Linked DNA regions of Oryctolagus cuniculus. The protein of the gene in region 1 interacts with the protein of each later gene in a pairwise test. Links are inferred from orthologs where the notes say so. Each region holds a gene or a part of one and is shown on either strand. Other genes may lie near its edges.

What was found. The genes of interacting proteins can lie anywhere in the genome.
Region 2: the proteins of KPNA1 (region 1) and ANP32B interact in binary tests that used the Homo sapiens proteins (3 or more experiments, as listed by UniProt). The link is inferred for Oryctolagus cuniculus from reciprocal best matches to the Homo sapiens genes KPNA1 and ANP32B.
Region 3: the proteins of KPNA1 (region 1) and NUP50 interact in binary tests that used the Homo sapiens proteins (3 or more experiments, as listed by UniProt). The two-hybrid records come from large-scale screens. The link is inferred for Oryctolagus cuniculus from reciprocal best matches to the Homo sapiens genes KPNA1 and NUP50.

What each region holds. Positions count from the first base shown.
Region 1 is NC_091435.1:78,713,297-78,717,636, reverse strand, and holds the start of KPNA1 (importin subunit alpha-5), read left to right. Parts: upstream 1-1,534; 5' UTR 1,535-1,730; intron 1,731-4,340. UniProt on the Homo sapiens protein: Functions in nuclear protein import as an adapter protein for nuclear receptor KPNB1. Binds specifically and directly to substrates containing either a simple or bipartite NLS motif.
Region 2 is NC_091432.1:201,785,975-201,790,067, forward strand, and holds the start of ANP32B (acidic leucine-rich nuclear phosphoprotein 32 family member B), read left to right. Parts: upstream 1-1,271; 5' UTR 1,272-1,629; coding exon 1,630-1,683; intron 1,684-4,093. UniProt on the Homo sapiens protein: Multifunctional protein that is involved in the regulation of many processes including cell proliferation, apoptosis, cell cycle progression or transcription.
Region 3 is NC_091442.1:119,913,219-119,917,521, forward strand, and holds the start of NUP50 (nuclear pore complex protein Nup50), read left to right. Parts: upstream 1-1,481; 5' UTR 1,482-1,751; intron 1,752-4,303. UniProt on the Homo sapiens protein: Component of the nuclear pore complex that has a direct role in nuclear protein import. Actively displaces NLSs from importin-alpha, and facilitates disassembly of the importin-alpha:beta-cargo complex and importin recycling.

The DNA of each region.
Region 1 (4,340 bases):
TTTTTAAATTCTTAAAGTACAAAAAAATGAGCTAGAGAAGCATTAGTTTATAAAACACAACATATGGGATGATAACATTTTTGCAAACAACATATAATCAATAATTATAATTTAAAATAATGATAATTCATAATTATATTATATATAATATTTTATATGACACATAATATATACGGATTATGCTTCCAACAACGTTTTGGGCCAACTCTTCCACCATGGAGAACAACCTGGGTGCAAAATCAAACATGCTAATGCGCTGAAGAGCTGCTAAAGCAGTGAGGATTTCTGGATGCAAGATGTGGAACGAGAGGAGAGCTAGGAGAGGCGAGTCTGACATTTGCCCTCACTTTTCCAAACCTGAGGTGATTGCTGATTCTAAAAACAGTGGCTGAAAAAGTGAGCAGAGCTTTCGGCTGTCTCATGGAGCTGAGAAGGCTCTGTCAAAGAGGAGGAGCCCTGATAAACACTCAAGACTTTCGGTCGGGGTGCTCTAGGACTATGTATGTCTTGGCTATGAGTAAGGGTGAACAGTCACAAAGACGGAGGTTCTGCTTTCAACAACCACCCTCAGCTCCTGATTGGGATAAGGTGAGCTGTCCTCAGCCCGGCTGCCGTCATGCATACTTGTCTCTAGCTCTGTCCCATAGACCACCCCCTCCCCAGCCACCTGGCTCAAACTCAGCCCTGGTCCTAGTAAACACACCATTGCTGGGGGAATGCTGAGGCAGCAGAGACAGATCCAGGACAACTGAGCATTGCATAACTGAGCTTCCAATTAGTGCAGTCCCCTCTCTCCCCACCCTACACCGGGAAATGTATTAATCCACCCCAGCTCTTCCACCTGGCTCCTCAGTGTGTGTTTGAAACTGGTTTGGCAAACTAGGACCTCAGTGAGACTTTTCTGTTCTGTGACCTCTGCTTGACTGGCTGCAGTCTTACTCTTCCACACACACACTCCACCCCCCGCCACAAGCCACTAATCCATTTGCTTCCTCCAAAGAAGAATTTCATCAAATTTAACAGTGAGAGTCATTTGCCCCACAATTTCCGTTTGACAGCGCTTATTGAGAATAAAGCAAGTCATTTCTTCATGATTTTTGACGTCATGCATATATTTTCAGGCAAACAGGATGGGAGAGAACTGAAGAAGGAATACCTAGAAGTTTCCTGCAAACACGCCACAAGGTAACTCTTTAAGCCCTGAGGCGCTGACAACACTTCATTCATTCCATCAGTCATTCAAGAAACACGGACTGAAATTGATACCTGCCTAGTTAGAGGGTAGACGGAGATGAGTGAGGATCGATCCGTCCTAGAAGAGATCAGTAAAGACAGGTTTGCGGACATCACTTTCTCCAACCTTTCCCAGGCTGCAAGCCTGCTCCTAGAAGCCCTCTCCTCTACCGGGAATTCCTCACCCGTTGGGCGCCAACCACTGGGGACTGCCGGTGGGCGACCGTTTGGAGACTACAACTCCCGGCAGCCACTGCAGCGGGTGGTGGAGGAGCTTGCGCAGGCGCGCGGGCCGGCCCCCGCACGCAGGCGCACTGCGAACGCCGGCTGAGCTGGGTCTCGCTGCTCGGTGCGCGGCGGCGGAGAGCGAGGCCTGGTGGGCACCGCCGAAGCGCGGACCGGCTGCTCGAGGTTGTGCGCGTGAGAGAGGCACGGCGCGCGGGCGAGCGAGTGAGCGCTTCAGCTTAGTGGCACCGGGACCGGTTGCCTAGAGCCTGGTGAGTTGGGGGCCCTGCGGCTGCGGCCCCTCCCCCTCCCGCCGGCGGATCCGGGCTGTCCTCGGCTGGACGCGGGAGAGGCCCCGGGGGCGAGGTTAGGCGCCGGCCGTGGGCTCCAGCCCGGGTGCCTGCGCCCAAACCCTTGCGGCGCGTCCGTGCGTCACGGGCCCGGCTTTCTAACGGCCGCGCGGCCGGCGGAGGGCCGAGTGGGGGTGGGGAGCGCTGGTGCGATCGCCATCGGGAACGCCGGTCGAGGCGGGGCAGCGCGGCGGTAGCGGCGGCGGCGGCGGCGGGGCTGGAAGCGGCGCCGGGGACTGCGGGACGCCGAGGCGGCGGGGCGGCGTGAGGCGAGTGCGCAGCCTGCGCCGCCGCCTGGCGCGGACGGGCGGGCGGGCCGCGGGTGGGCGCGAGCGCGGAGCGCGATGACAGGCAGGACGGGGCAGAGATGCGTGTGAAAGCCTTCCGCGGGGCCGGGCGGGCTCCGTGTGCGGAGTTCCCAAGTTGGAGCCCGGACCCGGGCCGGGGCGGGGCCGGGGCCGGCGACTGCAGTTTCCCGGTGTCACCGCGGCAGGGCCGGGCCGGCTCGGCGGCCGGGGGTGTGGTAATTATAGGAATGACAGAACTCGGGCTGCGCGGCGCGTGCGAGCGGGGAGCCCGGCACTGGCGGCGGGGTCGGGCGGAGAGTGCTTCAAGTTACTTGAAAGTTTCAAAATAGTCGTCTCTGATTTTTAAGGTCTAAATTCAACAGTCGCGAAATGTTTTCGTTCCAGAGCCTGCTAGTTATTAGGTAGCTTTTCCGTTCGTGTTTCGTAAACGGCCCCTTCAAAATCTTGACTATGTAAGGGAGGCAGATAACGCGATTTTTCCATCCCTGTTGCTGCTTCAAGCCTCATTCTTGACATTATTTTCTTAACTTTTTTTTTTGCATTTCTAATATTTTGGAAGTACTCCACAAGTTATTGTCCCACCCCCCTTATAGATTTTGAAGAGATGAAAATTTGATTTTTCAAAGGAAAGTGAGGATGAGCGCTATTGGACTTTTACTGAAATAATTTATTCTTGACACTGTTTTGTGTATGATTTTAGGATGGAGGGCGTGAGAAAGTAAAGGAGTTGATATTTATTGAACTCCTTTCTGTGTAATGTACACAATTCTTAACATTTTTATAAAGATTTTTGTGTATGGATTTGAAAGAGCTGCGGGAGGGTGCGGGGGCGAGAGAGATCTTCCATCCACACACACTGCAATGGCCAGGGCTGGGCCAGGCTGAAGCTTGGAGCCAGGATCTTCCTGGCCTCCCACGTGGGTGCTGGAGCCCAAGCACTTGGGCCATCCTACACTGCTTTTCTAGGCCATTGGCAGAGAACTGGATGGGAGGTGGAGCAGCCGGGTCCCCAAGGCAGCCAAGGCAGTGACTTTACCAGCACCACAAGGCCCACCCCATAGTAAATTTTGAGTAGCTGTTAAATTTTTTTGCTTTACAGATGAAAAGGCATTGAAGGTCAGAGAAGTTAAGTAACTTGTTTAAGAGGCAGCACTCATTGGGACTAACCTTAGAACCCAAAGTCACTGCCATTTTAAGAATTGGTTCTCTCCTTTCATAACTTCTGAGTTGTGTTTTTCGATTTAATCCATTCATTCTGTGGAGCGATTTATGTGACTGACACTAAAGATGTAGTAATGATCATGACACACTTATCTCTGACTTCATGAAATTGATAGAGTAGCAGAGAAGGCTAACAAGTAACTAATGCAGGTATTGACTACATGGCATTTTATCAGTCATTAAAATTGAGCAGATTTGTAAACCACTAAATAGCAAAGGAAGTTCAAATGGAAGCAGACAAAATAAGCCTTGAGGAAAATTAGCCTGTAGGAAAACAAAGCATACATTTAGAGAAACTTAGAGTAAACTAAATGACAGAAATAAACACATCGCCTGAAGTCAGTACGACATTGTGTTATTTTCTAAAGTGGTCCTCATAGCGTTTTTTCACAGAAGCATGATTTAATATTCCGTTCTTTGACTTTATCTAGAGTTAATATGTGAATGCTTCCAAAGATTTCATGAAAAGATGGAATTAAAAGATTGATTTTACAAAAAGAGTTTGAGGGGTGAGCATTGTGGCACATCAGGTTAAGCTGCTCCTTGGAACACCTGCATCTCATGTTGGAGTGCTGGTTTGAGTATCCGCTGCCATGTTTCCTGATAGTGCATCTTGGGAAGCGGTGGATGGTAGCTGAAGTGTTGAGATCTTTCACCATTGTAGGAGACCAGGATGGAGTTCCTGGTTCTTGGCTTCAGCCTGGCCTAGCCCTGGCAGTTGGCGGAGTGAACCAGTGTGTGGAAGATCTCTCTGTTTCTTCCTCTCTCTGTCACTCTGCCTTTCAAGTAGATGAAGGTGAATAACTAAACATTAAATTTCTTTGAAATACATTCATAGTTTTTTCTTTGATAAGCACTTTCCATGGGCATTTTGAAGATCCCTCCCAAAAGGGACCATGAAAAAAAATACCACCATCCAAGACACTTTCTTATTTATTGTTCTCTATAAAATACAAACCTTAGAGACATTCTTCTTAAGACCCCGGTACTCGCTAGACTTGTT
Region 2 (4,093 bases), on another chromosome or scaffold:
AAGCCCCTAAAGGTGCATGCTTGGTAGCTGCCTGTAATTTTTTGATAAAAGCCCTCATTGCCTGGTTCCCAATGACAGGTCCCCAGGTGCCTTCCCGAGGAGCACACCCCTCTCCACTTTCCCTCTCCACGGCTGTGTGGCTGAGACTACAAGGAGAGGAGGAAACTCCCAACTGGGAAGATTCGCCTCTTTCCGTAATCCTTCTAAAACGTCCTCTTGAAATGAGAATTCATTATCATAAAAACTGATATGTAATTGCTTCAAAACTAAGTTTGGGCTATTTATAGTCTGCCACTTGGGTAAAACCACGGGGGAAGGGGCTTCAGTCCCATAAAACTATCTCAGTTAATGCATGGAGTTTTTTCTGTAAAAAACTGCCTCTTGTCCACACTAGAAATAAGAAGGTATCCGACTGCACATACCATGCTGTTTATTTACTTTCTGCTGAGTATAACTCTACGGCCCGGACCTGGGGCTCTAACCGTGGGACCCCTGGAGCCGGAGCATGACAAAGGCGGCCTGACAGGCGTCACCAAAATGGATACCACCGAGACTCGGCGTGCCTCACGGGGGGCCCTAGGTTGTAACTGCGCTAGACGTGAGCGGGGAGAACGGTGTAACTGCGAGGCCCCCCCCACCCCCCACGCCGCCCCGCGGAAATGCTCATTGTTTCCTTCGGAAGTCCTCTCGGGCATCAAAATGTCAGAAAAGCGAGGGAGAGCCTCCGCGGCGGGGGGACGCTCGGCGGCTCTGAGGCTGAGGCAGGCGGCCGGGCCCGGGGCCAACTCCGCCCGCTGCCACGCGCTGCAGCTCGGGCCCGCCGCGATGCCGCCCACCCCTGGGTCCTGGGCTGCGCGTCCGACGCCACCCGGCCCAGGAGGCGCCAGGGTTCGGGCCGTCGGCCCCCGATTGTGCAGGGGGAGGGGGTGGAACGGAAGGGCGACCCCCAGGCCCCCGCGCCGAGTTCTCTGCCCATCTCGCGCCTCCGCGGGCGTCGGGGGAGCCTCCGCGGACCGACTCGCCCCTCGCGACCCCCGATCCCCGACAGGAGGGCCTCCCGCCAGCCCTGCCCCACCCCATCGCAGAGCACAGCGAGGCGGGCCGGGGGTCTCGGCCCGGCGGCAGGCGGAGAAGCCCCCGAGCAAGGTCTTACATCAGCCGCCCCACGTGCAGGCGGAGGGAGGGAGGAAGTCGCTCCCCTCCCCGGGGCTGCGCCTCCCCCCGCCCCCGCCCCGCCCTCCCGCCGCGCCTCCCCGCCCCGTCCTCGGAGCAGCCGCGGCCGCGGAGCCGAGCGGCGCCGCGCGGGGCCGAGTGGAGCCGAGCAGCCGCCGCGCCGCGTCGCCGGTTTAAGCGCAGTGCGAGGCCGCGGCCGGGGGCGGCGGTAGTGAGAGCAGCGCTGCGCTCCAGCCCCCTTTTCCCTCCATGGTTTCTCTCCGCTCCCGTGAGTAACTTGGCTCCGGGGGCTCCGCTCGCCTTGCCCGCACGCCGCACGCCGCCTGGGACCGCGCCGCCGGCCTCCGCCGCGAGCAGACCCCCTTCCGACGGCCTTCGCTGCGCAGGCCGGGACGCCTCTCCCCCCTCCGCCCCCGCCGCGGAAAGTTAAGTTTGAAGAGGGGGGAAGAGGGGAACATGGACATGAAGAGGAGGATCCACCTGGAGCTGAGGAACCGGACCCCGGCAGCTGTAAGCAGAGCCCCCGTCGGGCGCCCTTTCCCCCCCGATGACTTGCATGTAATGGTGGCCACCTGCGGGGGCCCCGGGCCGCGGGTTCGCGGGCTCCGGCGCGGGGAAGGGCGCAGCTCGCGGGCTGGGACGGGGAAGGCGGGCGGGCGGGCGGGCGCGGGCGGAGGGGGGGAGCGAGCGCGCGGGGATTAACTCTTTGGCGCCCGCGGGCCCTCGCGGCCGCCCGGGGAAGGCGACGGGGTGAGGGAGCGCAAACTTTGAGCTCCTCGCCCGCCGGGGTCCTCTCCCGGAGGGAGCGCGTGTGCGTGTGGCCGGCGGCGAGAGAAGGAGGCGGGGGGTTGTGTAACGCTGGGAGCCATGTTTGCAGCCTCCCGGGATGCGCGGCCGGGCGGAGGCGGGCCTGCCCGGGAGCCGCGCGGCCATCCCCGGCTGGGCCCGCCGCCGGCCACGCCGGACTCCGCACGCCCCGGGCCGGCCCCGGGAGCGGGAGCCGGCGGCGGGCAGGGCGGGGGGCTGCGCCGGCCGGGCCTCGCGGTTGGCGTCGGCCCGGCCGAGGGCAGGGGCCGCGGGGGCGAGCAAGGGGGCTCTGCTCCTTTGAAGGGGGCCAGAAGCCCCCTCGGGCGCTGGGGGGCCCGGGCGGGCGCGGCCTGGCGCGCGGAGCGGGGGAGGGGCGGGCCTGGGCGGCGGAGGTGGCGCAACCGCCGCCCCTCCCGAGGCCAAGTTTGAAAAAAGGACGCGGTTCCCGCCATTTTTCAAGCCTAAAAATAAAACTTTCTCCCCCATTGCCCTCGCTCTCCTTTGAGACGCCCTCAGCCATCCTCCCTGCGGCCCCCTCAGGGCGGGCCACGGGCAGGCGTTGTGGCGGCGGCCGGGCCCTCCCCACCCCCGCCGTCGCAGTCGCAGTCGCCGCCGCGGAGCCCGGGGGCCCCTGCCCCGGGAGGCTGGCCCCTCGGTGTGGGCGGGCGGCGGCCGCTCGCGCCAGCCCGGGCGCGCCACAGGCCGCCACAGCGCCATGTTGGCGGGCGCCCGTCTCCCTCCGCCGCGTGAGGCGGCCGGCCGAGCGGCTCGGAGCTCCGGCGCGGCCCGCTCGCCCTCGCCCGCCGCGCTTTCCCGGGCCGAGCCTTCGGTGTGTCCCGTCCCGCCGGGGCTCGGCTCGCACTGGCGGTCGCCGCGCGCTACGGCTGCAGCCGACTCGTCCCCTCGCGGGCGCGCTGCCGGCGCCCTCCCCCCTTCTTAAAAGGGCAACGGCAGGCCTGGCGCGCGGGCGTTCGCGCGGTCTTGGGGCCGGCGCAGGGCCGTGCGGTGGCCTGTGCCCCCGCACGTGCCAGGGTGCGGCCTGCCGCGGCCGGCCTCGGGCCGCTGCTGCGTGTGCGTGGGCCCGGCCCGGGAGCGTCGCCTCTTGTATCGCAGCGAGCGCGAGCCCCCGCGTGGAGAGGCGGCGCGCGGCCGCCCGAGCCCGCGGCGGGTGAGTCGCTGGCGGCAGGAGGCCGCGTGGCGGGTGCTCAGGTGGCTGTGGTTAGCAAGTTGCACACTTGGTGGGATCGGCCGACCGGGCTGTTTACCTGCAGGCCTTGAGGTCAGCGGGCGCGCGTGGTGGCGCCCTGAAACCCCGAGTTGGGTGGGTGGCCTTTTGGCGGGTGTCGGGGTCGAGTCAGACATTTTGTGCCCGCCACGTGCTGCGTGTTGCGTGGTTAGACACCTTGAAGAGCTCGTTCTCACCTGGAGGGCTTAACGCCAGAGTTTCCATTATTGCTTGGAAGTTGGGAATCAATACAGTATCTAAATTTAGCCAAAATTCCCCCTAAGAAAGGTGCACACATAGGTCTTTTTTTTTTTTTTTCTTTTTTTCTGCCAGACAGTGAGAGAGACAGAGACAGAGAGAAAGGCCTTCCTTCCGTTGGTTCACCCCCCAAATGGCCGCTACAGCCGGCGCTGCGCCGATCCAAAGCCAGGAGCCAGATGCTTCCTCCTGGTCTCCCATGCAGGTGCAGGGGCCCAAACACTTGGGCCATCCTCCACTGCCTTCTGGGGCCACAGCAGAGAGCCGGACTGGAAGAGAAGCAACCGGGACTCGAACCCGGGGTGCCAGCGCCGCAGGCAGAGGATTAGCCAAGTGAGCCGCGGCACCAGCCCAGACATAGGTCTTTAAAATCTAAATTTCTGGATTCTCAAACCAAAAGCCTGCTAAAACGCTCGGAGCAAGTAGTTTTCTCTGCTAAATAAGTGCCACTGCTGTTCCCAGTCCATGGTGCCCTTTCTCATATGGAGCAGTATAGCTTTAAAAATATGTGTGTGTGAAAGTATTAGTTTTTTCAAGTAATCAGTTTAGTTTTTGACCACCTTGCCAAGATGCGTGTGACTATTAAAGTTTTAATTAGGCCAGTCGTTGGTCCTGCCCCATTTTTACTGT
Region 3 (4,303 bases), on another chromosome or scaffold:
CTCTGCCTTTCAAATAAATAAACCTTAAAAAAAAAAACACCCTTACTGTTAGCTGTCTCTTACATGGGTAACAACCTAGAGACCATAAAGCAAGCTGACTAGTGATTACATCTATTTAAGTTGAAAATCATCATCCAATTTGTAAGCAAGCACTAAAAACAGCTGGGATGATTGAGCCTCACACAGAATCAAACAAAGATCCACAAGTCACTCGTTAGAAAGGAACTTGGAATGCGACGTTTGTCTCAATGAAGAGAAGGGTTGACCCGTGTGGTGGACAGGTGAGTGCCTACTGCCCACTAAGGGCAGTTCTAGGGATCCTAGTGGCTGAAATACAGGAAGAAAGCGGGATGGCTACCAGACGGGGCGAGGATGAGGACGTAGAGAAGCAGGAGGGAGGCCGGGCGTGGGGCGGAGGTGCGACGAGGGCTGCTGACAGGCACTGAGGTGGAGGACCAGGTGGAGGACCGCGAGGCGAGGGCACAGCCGTGGCTCTGCGGCGCCCCGTGCAGCTTCCAACAGCGGGCACTCAGCGTCGTTCACGCAGCGCGCGCAAGGCGACGCCGGGCTGGGACGAGCCCTGGGCTCCGCCCCGCTCAGCCACCACAGGGGGATGGCTGCGATGGGTTCTACAACATCCTGAAGGGTCTGCCCTGTGAATTCTGTTAGCAAAAAAAAAGGGGGGGGGGCGTAGTGCCGTGGGTTAACCCGCCGGCATCCCACATGGGCACTCCTCTGCCGATCCAGTGCTCTGCCACGGCCCGAGTCCTCGGACCCCTGCCCACCCCCCCACCCCGGGGAGACCCCGAAGAAGCTCCTGGCCCCGGATCGGCTCAGCTCCGGCCGCTGCGGCCACCTGCGGAGTGACCCGGCGGACGAAGACCTCTCTGGGCGTCACTCTTTAAAATAAACGAATCTTGACGCGGGCCTGATCCCAGACGGCCTTCCTGCCGAGGGCGGGGGCCGACAACGGCCGCGCCGCCCCGCAAGCTCACCCCCCGACCCAACGCCCCCGGGCCGCCCCACCACGGAGGGCGCCGCAGGCGGGGGTACGAAGCCCCAGGCCCGCGCCAGCCGTGAAGTGGCCGCGGCCGGCTCCCCGCGCCCGCCAGCCCCCCACGCGGGAGCTCCACGGGCCTCGCTCCCGCCAGTGACTGACCACGCGCTCTCGAGCCACTCCGGAAGCGCCAGCCCGGCCGGCACCTCAGCAGCGAGCGCGTCAGGCCAGCCGGCCTCAAGCGCCGGGCGACACGTGACCCGAGGACGCGGGCGCGGGTTCCGCGGCTGAGGCGGCGCGCATGCGTGGGGCGGGCGCGTTCCTCCGGCGGACGGTTTCCAGGGAGCTGTGCGCATGCGCCCTGCGGCGCCCCAACCCCCCAACCGCAGGCCGGCGAAGGAGGAACTGTTGGCGGAGGCGCCCGTGCGCTTGCGCACTAGCCGGACGCGGGCGTTTCTTTCATTTTTTTCGAATTGGTTTTGAGGGGTAGATTCGAGTTACAAGATGGCGTCCCGGGGCGCGTTGGGGGCTGTGATCCCGGCGGTCTCGGGCTGAAGAGACGGCTGTCCCCTCGCTGCGGAGCGCGGAGAGGCGAGGCCCCCGGGGGACATGGTGTTGGGCTGCCGGCTTGCTGACCACGAAGTCCTCCGAGGCTCCCAGCGCACCGGAAGCGACCGGGCGCAGCGACCGCGACCTCGGCCCCGCTCCGCGCCGCGCCCACGACCCAGCGGGAGCCGCGGCGGCCGCCGGCGAGGTGCGGAGCGGGGGCGGGGGGCCGCGGGGCGGCCTGAGGAGGGGGCGTCGGGCGGCAGCCGCGCAGGGAGGGGCGGGTGGCAGCGGCGACGCGGCCGGGGCTGTTTGTGAAGCCGCCTCTCGGGGCCGGCGCCCGCGCCCGGCGTGAGTGCGGCCCGCCCGGGCGCGGCCCCCGCGGAGGCAGGAGGCAGGAGGGCGCCAGCTGCGGGGTGGGCTCGGGGCGCGGGGCTGCGCGGTGGGCTCGGGGCGCAGGGCCGGCTGCGGGGTGGGCTCGGGCGCGGGGCCGGCTGCGGGGTGGGCTCGGGCGCGGGGCCGGCTGCGCGGTGGGCTCGGGGCGCGGGGCTGCGCGGTGGGCTCGGGGCGCAGGGCCGGCTGCGGGGTGGGCTCGGGCGCGGGGCTGCGGTGTGGGCTCGGGGCGCAGGGCCGGCTGCGGGGTGGGCTCGGGGCGCAGGGCCGGCTGCGGGGTGGGCTCGGGCGCGGGGCTGCGCGGTGGGCTCGGGGCGCAGGGCCGGCTGCGGGGTGGGCTCGGGCGCGGGGCTGCGGGGTGGGCTCGGGGCGCAGGGCCGGCTGCGGGGTGGGCAGGCGGAGCGGGCCCCGGCGGAGGCAGGAGGGCGCCGGTGGGCTCGGGCGCGGGGCTGCGGGGTGGGCTCGGGCGCGGGCCCCGGCGGAGGTAGGAGGGCGCCGGCTGCGCGGTGGGCTTGGGGCGCAGGGCCGGCTCGGGGGCGCCGGGGCTGCGCGCTGGGCTCGGGCGCGGGATCCCCGCGGCCCCCGCGGAGGTAGGAGGGCGCCGGTGGGCAGGCGGAGCGGGCCGGGGCTGCGCGGTGGGCTTGGGGCGCGGGGTCCCCGCGGAGGTAGGAGAGCGCCGGTGGGCAGGCGGAGCGGGCCGGGGCTGCGCGGTGGGCTTGGGGCGCGGGGTCCCCGCGGAGGTAGGAGGACGCCGGTGGGCAGGCGGAGCGGGCCGGGGCTGCGCGGTGGGCTCGGGCGCGGGGCCTCGCCGTCCCCCTCCCGCTGAGGGCCGGGGTCCCGGGTGTTCCAGCCCCATCCTTTGCTGCTGTGGGCTGCGTGCCCGGGCCGGACTTCCGCGGGGAGGCGGTTCCGAGTCTGGGTTCTGCCCGGCACCTCTGTCCCTGCCACGCTGCGGGCACCTCGCGAGCCCGGCTCCACGGGCAGGGCTGCTCCGGGAGGGGCGACCACAGGACTTTTCCCAGTTACCGTGGACGCGGCTTCATGTCTCGGAGTCTGTCGTACCTGGGCAAACGTTTTTGAAACCAAAAAATAGCGGTGGCCGGAAGGCACCTGGTGTGCAGGCCTGTTGCGGGATTGCCCGCTTCTTCCGGCTGCGTCACCCAAAAGCGTCAGGCTGGGAAGCAAAATTCGGGTTAAGATTATTTTTACTTGGAAGCCAGAGTTAAAGAGAGGGGGAGAGACAGCGATCTTCCATCTCCGGTTCACGTCCCAGATGGCCCCAGAGGCCAGAGCTGGGCGGTCCTGAGCCAGCAGCTTCTTCCGGGTCTCCCACGTGGGTGCAGGGGCCCAGCACCCGGGTGCTAGCAGGGAGCCGGCTCAGAAGAGGCGCTTCACCTGCTGTGCCGGGCGCCGGCCCCCACGCTTTGTCCTTACAAGTACGAGCTCTTCCCTGGCTCCAGGAGCTTTTCTAACTAAGCTTTTTCTTTCATCTCATCCATCCCTCATAACTTCCTGTTAATTTGATCAGGTAAAGAACCTGAGTCAAAAATTCCCACGCCCAGGCCTCACAGCTGGAAAACAGAAGTGGAATGCCAGCACCTTGTAGTGTTTTTTTTCTTTCCAAAGATTTATTTTTATTTAACTGAAGTAGTTACAGAGAGTGGCAGGAGCTAAGCTGGAGCCAGGAGTCAGGAGCCTCTTCCGGGTCCCCCACGCGGGTGCAGGGGCCCAGGCACTTGGGCCATCCTCCACTGCTGTCCCAGACCGGAGCAGGGAGCTGGATGGGAAGAGGAGCAGCGGTGCTCAAACCGGCGCCCAGGTGGGGTGCCGACCCTGCAGGCTGCGGTTTTACCTGCCGGCCCCTTGCGGTGTTTCTGAAATAGGTCTTAGTCCAGGTCACTGATTGAGCAGCCGAGATAGTGCCTGCTGTGGGCCGGGCCGGTCTGGGCATTTGGAACGCATCAGCGATCCACGGCTTGACAGATATTTTAGAAAATGGAAGCAGCTGCATTGATCGCGATTATGTTCGGACGCGTTGTGGGTCCCAGGTGGAAGGGAAAAGTTCTGCTTTGTCAGCGCTCTCAGCTCGACCCCCTTCTGCCTGCCGCGCTAACCGTAATAGCAAGCGGGACCGACCCTTCCAGCTTCTCCCTCTCCTGCCCTCTGGTGGAGGTCTTGGTTAATGGCCAGGAGAGTGCTTGCTTAAGTAGACCTGTGTCTCGGAACAGGTCAGCAAGGAATTATGTCTGCTGCTGCATTTGTTTTTGTTTGTGTGACAAGCATGAACAGCAGAACTTGACCATGTGTTTTTAGGGTGGCATTAAAAAGAATTCCTAGGTACTGGCTGGAAAGTGAATTTATTACATC